2 linked regions of the Lonchura striata genome follow. The protein of the gene in region 2 purifies or fractionates together with the protein of the main gene of each other region. This does not show direct contact. Links are inferred from orthologs where the notes say so. Each region holds a gene or a part of one and is shown on either strand. Other genes may lie near its edges. The genes, in order: PHLPP2 and WDR20.

What was found.
Region 1: the proteins of WDR20 (region 2) and PHLPP2 purify together in Homo sapiens (affinity purification with mass spectrometry; 4 studies listed by BioGRID and IntAct, with this or other methods). This does not show direct contact. The link is inferred for Lonchura striata from reciprocal best matches to the Homo sapiens genes WDR20 and PHLPP2.

Annotation. Positions count from the first base shown.
Region 1 is NC_134615.1:23,822,823-23,826,731, reverse strand, and holds the start of PHLPP2 (PH domain leucine-rich repeat-containing protein phosphatase 2), read right to left. Parts: upstream 3,187-3,909; 5' UTR 3,170-3,186; coding exon 3,038-3,169; intron 2,826-3,037; coding exon 2,581-2,825; intron 1-2,580. UniProt on the Homo sapiens protein: Protein phosphatase involved in regulation of Akt and PKC signaling.
Region 2 is NC_134608.1:11,010,962-11,014,870, forward strand, and holds the start of WDR20 (WD repeat-containing protein 20), read right to left. Parts: upstream 2,879-3,909; 5' UTR 2,836-2,878; coding exon 2,587-2,835; intron 1-2,586. UniProt on the Homo sapiens protein: Regulator of deubiquitinating complexes. Activates deubiquitinating activity of complexes containing USP12. Anchors at the base of the ubiquitin-contacting loop of USP12 and remotely modulates the catalytic center of the enzyme.

The sequences.
Region 1 (3,909 bases), on a different chromosome or scaffold from region 2:
TTCTTCACTAACTTGGTCAAGTCCAACAGATTCCAGAAGTAACAGCTAAAGTGCAGTAGAAAAATACACTTTCCTTTCAAGAGAAAGCAATGTGGTGTGAAACCCAAACCGGCATCAGCTCACATTAGAACCGCACAAACTCATCCTGTACCAAACACAATGAGTTCTGAACACTGGCACATGTGAGAACACACAGCTGTCACAGCAGCTGCGATCTGGCTCAAACAGCCCACCACATCCTCAGTAGTATCACACATCAGGGACTGAATACTTCCTCTGCTCACAGAAGCTCTCTGGAGCACAGGCGCAAAGCCTTAAGGAGACAGAAAAGACAAAGAGAAGGAGCAACAGTTTCAGTTTCATTCTTGTTGTAACTGTAGCTCTCCATAAGTAAGGGTCAAGTTTTCAAATCTTGGAAGCTTAAATTTTTGTTGTAAGTGGTATTCAGAGCAAAGAAGGTAGCTGTGCAATTCTTGTCTAACCCTTCCCTCAGGAAGATACAACTTCTGGATATGAAGGGATACAAGCATAAAGAAAGATTCTGCCTAGCAGAAAGTTAAAGATCCATGAGGTGCATTGTGGAGAAAAAGTTCTTACAGAAACTGACTTGAAGTCAGAAACTTAATTGAAAAGGAAACAGAATGATCACAAGCATATTGTTGAATATTTAGACTGAATACATAAAAGAGCTTATGCTATTCTTCCATACAGCTTTCAGTCTTCCAAGTCAGGTTTCAAACTAATGTCTGCCATGCTCTGGAAAGAAAGTCACCTGCTGATATTAAAAGGGCGAAGAATTCAGAAGCTGTCTGAGAGAGGCACGTAGTTATGGTAATATGTGATCAGATATTTAACAAAGTAATTTGTATAGTGAGCATATTATTAAAGTAATTGGTAAAGTTTGTTTGAGGAAGGAATTATCTCAATAGGGCATGAGGATAATCTTGAGCACTCTATCATCTTCCCATGGACATACAAGTAGATACCACTCTGGCCTGCTTCCTGCTACTAACACAGGTGTTACTGAAGCAATACTGGTAACTCCCACTTCTCTACCAAGAAAAACTCCAGTGGGAAGTATTTCAAGGATCTCTTCTGTGACAAACACACTCTGAAAATTACCAGGAACAGACACATCATAACCAAGAACTCTTCACAAAACTTATGAAAAATATTGGCCAAGTCCTAAACATACCAAGAGGCAAAAGGAGTGGGAAGTAATAATTTACAGCTCAGTACTTGCTTCCAAAAGGCTAACAGAAGATCCAATTTGCTAATCTAGTGCAAAATCTACCACAAATCAAAGACAGGCACAGCTAGCTAGCATAAGAAAAGAGAGGTTGAAAAGAATTCAAATGCAAAAGCCACTTCAAAAGCTAAATAAAGTCAAAATGTATCTCTCTGAAAACATCTACAAGCTTTACCTAATTTTTTCATGATCTGCACAAATGGCTCTGCTCTTCCTTAAAAATTGCTGGAAAATCTGCTCGCTATTAGGGTCCAAAATATGCCAACTCCCTTACAAATTTTTCAAGCAACAGAGGTTTTCAGCTGCCTCAGTGGCAGTGTTCAAGTGTCCATCTGTTCTCATACAGTGTTTCTAACTAATCCATCCCTAATTCCTGTAACCCTGACCAGGGTAAAGCAAATGGTTGTAAATAATCTTTTCTAAGAGTCAGTTTTGAACACGTCCTGTTCTCTCTGCATCTCCCACCACTAGCATTACCACCCCACTGCAGAGCAAACATACATCACAGTTTTAAGATTTGGACACATGAGACCTGTAACCTTCATTTCACTATCCAAAATCCAGCTACTACCTCTGTCCAACCTTTAAGTAAGGAGACTGCAGCAATCATTTGCCTCTGAGAACAGGAGTGGCAATTTTATAACTGCATCTTAAGTCTGGAAGAATCAGTGCAAAGTTTAAATCCTAACAAACTGAATGGGAGCTTCTAAACCAAGATGAGTCCATAACACAGTCACAGCACAAAGTTCGCACACATACAACCCTGAGCCATCTATTTTCAGCCTAAATTGACTTCCGGCATAAAACGTAGCATCTGATGCTTAAACCTTCTTTATATAACCCTTGCTACAATTTCTATCTGCCTTTAATTACTTAGCTGACAACTCTTCTCAGCAAAAAAAAAATTACTCACATGTAAATATGAAATGACATAATTGCGAAAGCACCTTACTGCTTTTGCTGACTCAAAGTAACTGTTTACAGCCTCTTAAATAGATGAGGTTGTCCAGATGCTAAAATCCCCATAACACAGAACATACTAAAGAAATATATGAACAGGTGCCTCTACTCAGAAAATGAGGACATATTTCTGGTTGGAGCAATAGCCAAACTCTCCCTGTTAAAACACATAACTACGAGGTGTGTAACTTCTATTTCACCACTACCTAATTTTTATGAAGTGCATGACTTAAGGCTGTACCTGACTGCCAGCTACTACCTCTACCTGCTCCCTACCCACCCTCACAACAGGCATAGGGACATGGTGAACAGAGGCTCGCAAAACTATACAAAACATTTTGTAGTCAGGTTTATCCTTTCTCAGCCCTCACCTGACCAGGTCTCCATGAAGCTGCAAAAAGAGGTTTTTCCTCCCTTCTCTGTCACAGATCTCCGCGGCTTGGGTGTCCACTGTGCAGAGGACCAGGTGCAAGTCCGAAGGAGCCGCAGCTGCTGAGTCTCTCCCATAAACATACACGCAGCCTCGTCGAACATCCCCTTTCAGCCAGGTCCTCTCACGGGAACCAACCCGACTGCTGCTCTGGCAGCTCCTGCTCCCGGTGCGCTTGGCGTTCCTCTGCAAGGCAGCCCAGACCTGAGCGTCAGCAGCGCCTGCGGCCGCTCCGACCCGGCCCGCACCGGCCCGCTCCGCAACTCCGCACAAGCGGCAGCCACTGGCATGGGAAAGACCACGGTCGCAGCGGGCAAGTGTGCCCGACGTGCCGCAGCCGACTCCCACTCCCCCCACCGAGCCGCCCGGAGCGGGGGAGGCCTCGGTCTCCTCCTCACCTTCAGCACCCGGATGCCGCCGCGGGATCCGGCCCGGCACCCTCGTGTGGCGCCCGGCGCGGCCGCCTCGTCCTCCTCGGGCTCCTGCGCAGCCCTGGGCCCCAGCCCGGCACCCGGCCCGGCCTCCCCCATCACCGGCCAGGCCGGCACCCCGGGCCTCCGCGGCCCGCCCCGGAAGCGCGCGGCCCGTCCGGCGCAGGCCCCGCCCCGGCGGCACCGGCGGGGCAGCGAGCACCGGGCCCGTGTCCGCGTCTTGCACCAGCGGGCGGTACGAGTGTGAGCCGCTCGCCAGCCGGGCGAGGAGAAGGCAAAGCTCACGCGAACGCTGCAAACGCACCTGTCGCCGCTCGCCCTCCGCACAGCTCCAGCGTGTGTCACCATCGGCACCCCGCAGCTGAGGTACGCTGCTCAGCAGCCGAACAGCACCGTGCTCCTGCTGCCCTGCAGGTCCATCTCCTAAGCTCTGCCAGTCTTAACTAGTGTCTGCTACTAATAATGTCATTAACTACTAGTGACGTCATCATCTACCAATGACATCATCATGACAGTTTGCAAGAATTTGAGCATGTTTTAGGGCAGCCACTGCTTCTCCCTCAAGGATCAAGAACATTAAAAAAAGCCTCCCACCTTCCCCGCAGTGAAATTACACGTTTGAAAAGACGTGAAAGGTCATCTAGTGAAATGTGACTGTGACTAAAACACAAAGCAGACACATGTGGTGAGAGAGATATGGTGACAATCCTTGTCCAAGAGTCACATGGAGTATGAAAGGGGTCTTTTAACAAGCTCCTAGAGCAGGCTCCAAACACATTACTTGTGTTCAGATCCCACCATGCCTTTCTAGCACCTGGACAAACATTGCTGCTTGTAAC
Region 2 (3,909 bases):
AATGGATTACTGATGCAAGAATTATCTCAGTACCAAACAGACACAGCCACTTAAAATACAGTCCTCGTGGTTCTTTTGCTCATTTTAGGAAAAATGTAACATTTTCCTATCAAGAAAAGAGGTCTTAAAATAATCTTAAAAAAAAAAAGGAAAAAACAAGAAAAAAAAAAGACAAAATCACAGTTGATATATTCACACAGCACAGCGTCATTAAATTCAACTCAATATTCCAATATGACTTAGTCAGAATGAAAATCACGATCTTAAAAGTAATCAGGGAAAATTTTTAAGGAATACATAAATAATTATGAACTAACAGGTAAAACTGAAGTTATCAGCACCTGTATTACGCCAAGGAGCACAAATAGCTGGGTTTTAAACAGATCAAATCCCTTTCCCCATCCTCATCCCAGGAACAGGAAGGAACACAAAATGTGATAGTCTGCCCAGTTTAAGGCAGAATTACATCGTGTCCATTTAAGTAACAATAGCTCTCTCCCTTTTATGACAGCCACAAGATAGAACTTTTGATTCTGAAAAGTTCACACGATCAGTTGACAGGCTGTCAGCCTGTTCCTGATTCACTTTCATACACAGACAAAACAGTTACTTCCAACTGAAGTTCCAAAATAAATTCCAAAGCAGCAAGTATTGCAGATTTAAATCAGACCATCTTCTCATTCTCATTTAAAGCATTTTCCTTAAAGTGAGTCAATCTATTTCAGCTCTTTCTTTAGGTTCACTTTACCAAAGTATTATACATATAGAATATACAGTATTGTTTTACATAGTTAATACTGTAAAAGGTCATTGAGATTAATTCTGTCCTAACAATGTCTATGTTTCACTCTATTCAGAGAAAAAAGTATTTCACACTGTCACAGGTACAGATGCCTCCAGAGCTCATGAGTTCACAAACTCAAATTTCTCAGTTACTGCATACCATACCAGTAGCTTTTAGCATCTAAAAAATCTAAATACCAAATATCTAAATACCCAGTTCAAGAAGACTTTTGTAATTTGATATAACTATAATTATTCTATTCCTTATTGTCAACTAAGTTCCAGCCTTTAGATTTTTATTTGTCAGAAGTGTGGCAAGAGATGACTAAGAGAACTTGCAAGAATCACATGTACCATTACTAAACTACATAAAGGCCTGCTCTGTGAGCTCAGAGAACTCTGCAGCTACTTTGCATGGAAAAAACAAACAGCAGGACCCAAACATGGCAACAATTTAGGATGTAGATTTTCAGAGATACTGCTCCTCAGGATACCTTGTAAAGACAGCAACTGGTTGTAAGTAGGGAATACTGTTTGATACTAAATACTCCTTGTATCCTTAAAGAAGCCATTGTCCAAGCATTATTTGAAACATACCTAGATTATTAAAATTCATTAAAAGGTGAAACTAAATACACACACACACTTTCACATATAATTATACAAGACATATCAGATCTGTTAGGTCACAGTCTAACAAACAACCATGTAGACTTTAAACTCCTGCTGCTGCCGACATTTTATAGAAAGGAGGAGTGCTGGGGGCACTCCCCTAGGACACAGCAGATTCAGGTATAATCCCTTGCTCATCCACGAGCTTCCTGCACAGCCTCGTGTGAGTCTCTAGCTCTCCGTGCCCTCATCCCATGCTGAATGGTGAGCTAAAAGCAGGAAGATTTCAAGGCGATCACATGATGGCAACTGAGACCCAAGCATGTAAAATAACGAACACCCACTATCTGAGACAAAGCAGAAAACTGACATTCATTATATATGTGTTTATATCTATTAGGAGTGACGTGGGTTCACCTAGCACAGCAAATTCCGAATTGTTCTCTCAATCCTGTTTGAGAGAAGGGTTTGTTCATAAATATGGTGACCTGAGAGATCAAATGCATGCACTGTACTGCATCCAATAATGACAAGCAAGAAGTGTCTCTCTCAAGTACATCAATCTTTTTATCCTGCAAAAGCAACTTTCTCTCTGTCAATTATCTGATATTTAAGACTCATCTCACTACACCACTCCCATTTAGGAATAATTCTAAAACCAACCCACACTTCTAAGTCATAACAAAGGCCTAAAACTGCACCGAATGCTTCAGACGTGCAGCCAAAGCTAGGAAGAGCCTGGAAGCAGGGATTTGACACCACCATAATCACGACAGGCATTAGCGTGTCCAGCAAATTCTGACCTGAAGCAGCAGGTGACGGAGGCCGAGGGAGGGAAAGCCAACCCTGATTCCCGCACGAGGAGCGCCCAAGCGATCGCATCCCTGCACAGGGCCCACACACACGGCTCCCGTCGGTGACACCGTATGTGGAGCAGCCCCGAGCACCGGCCCGCCGCCGATGCCCTCACACCGCCCTCGCCGCAGGCCCGCTCTCCCCCGCCCAGCCGCCAGCTGGCTGAGCGGAGCTCGGCCGGAGCCGAGGAGCCGCCGGCCCCGCGGGGAGTGGGGACAGCGAGCGAGGCGCAGCCCGGCCCCGCGCCCCCGCCCCCGGCGCGGCCCGCACCCCGGCGGGCGGGCGGCGCGGAGCCCCGCCGCTCCCCGCCCCAGCCCGGCGGGGGAGCCCCGGTACCTTGCGGACCCCCTTGTAGATGTAGAAGTAGAGCTCCCGGCCCACATTGAAGCAGAGCCGGTCCCCGTTGCCGCTCTGGTCGTTGACGTTGACGAAGGAGACGCGGACGGGGTTGGAGCCCTGCGAGTTGAAGGGCACGCGGTTAGGCCGGCTGTACTCCGAGTGGCTCAGCAGCTTGTACAGCCCCTCCCGGGTGGTGAACTGGGTCTTAATCTCGTTCATCTCCTTCCCACCTCCCTCCGCCGCCATCTTGGAAAGGAGCGCTCATCCTGCCCCAGTGCCCGGATGTGCCGACACTGCGCAGCCGCCGGCGCGCGCGCGGCCCCTGCGCGCGGGGGCGACGCGAGGAGGCGGGGCCGGCGGGGCCTGTTTACCGCGCGACTGCGCGCGCGCCGGGCCCGCGCGCCGGGGGCGGGGAAAGGGGCGGGGGCTGTGAGTGGGCGGGGCCTCGGGCGGGAGCGGCGGCGTGCCCGAGGGGCCCGGCGGGGGACACCGCGCACAGCCCCCTGCACAGCCTTCCTGCACAGCCCCCTGCACAGCCTTCCTGCCCCAGCCCCCTGCACAGCCCCCTGCACAGCCTTCCTGCCCCAGCCCCCTGCACAGCCCCCTGCACAGCCTTCCTGCCCCAGCCCCCTGCACAGCCTTCCTGCCCCAGCCCCCTGCACAGCCCCTGCCCCAGCCCCCCTGCACAGCCCCCTGCACAGCCCCCCTGCACAGCCCCCTGCACAGCCTTCCTGCCCCAGCCCCCTGCACAGCCTTCCTGCCCCAGCCCCCTGCACAGCCCCCCTGCCCCAGCCTCCCTGCACAGCCCCCTGCACAGCCCTCCTGCACAGCCTTCCTGCCCCAGCCCCCTGCACAGCCCCCTGCACAGCCCCCTGCACAGCCCTCCTGCACAGCCTTCCTGCTCCAGCCTCCCTGCACAGCCCCCTGCACAGCCCCCCTGCACAGCCCCCCTGCACAGCCCCCCTGCACAGCCTTCCTGCCCCAGCCCCCTGCACAGCCCCCTGCACAGCCTCCCTGCACAGCCCCCTGCACAGCCTTCCTGCCCCAGCCCCCTGCACAGCCCTCCTGCCCCAGCCCCCTGCACAGCCCCCTGCACAGCCCTCCTGCCCCAGCCTCCCTGCACAGCCCCCCTGCACAGCCCCCTGCACAGCCCCCCTGCCCCAGCCCCCTGCACAGCCCCCTGCACAGCCTCCCTGCACAGCCCTCCTGCACAGCCTTCCTGCCCCAGCCCCCTGCACAGCCCTCCTGCACAGCCCCTGCACAGCCCCCCTGCCCCAGCCTCCCTGCACAGCCTCCCTGCACAGCCTCCCTGCACAGCCC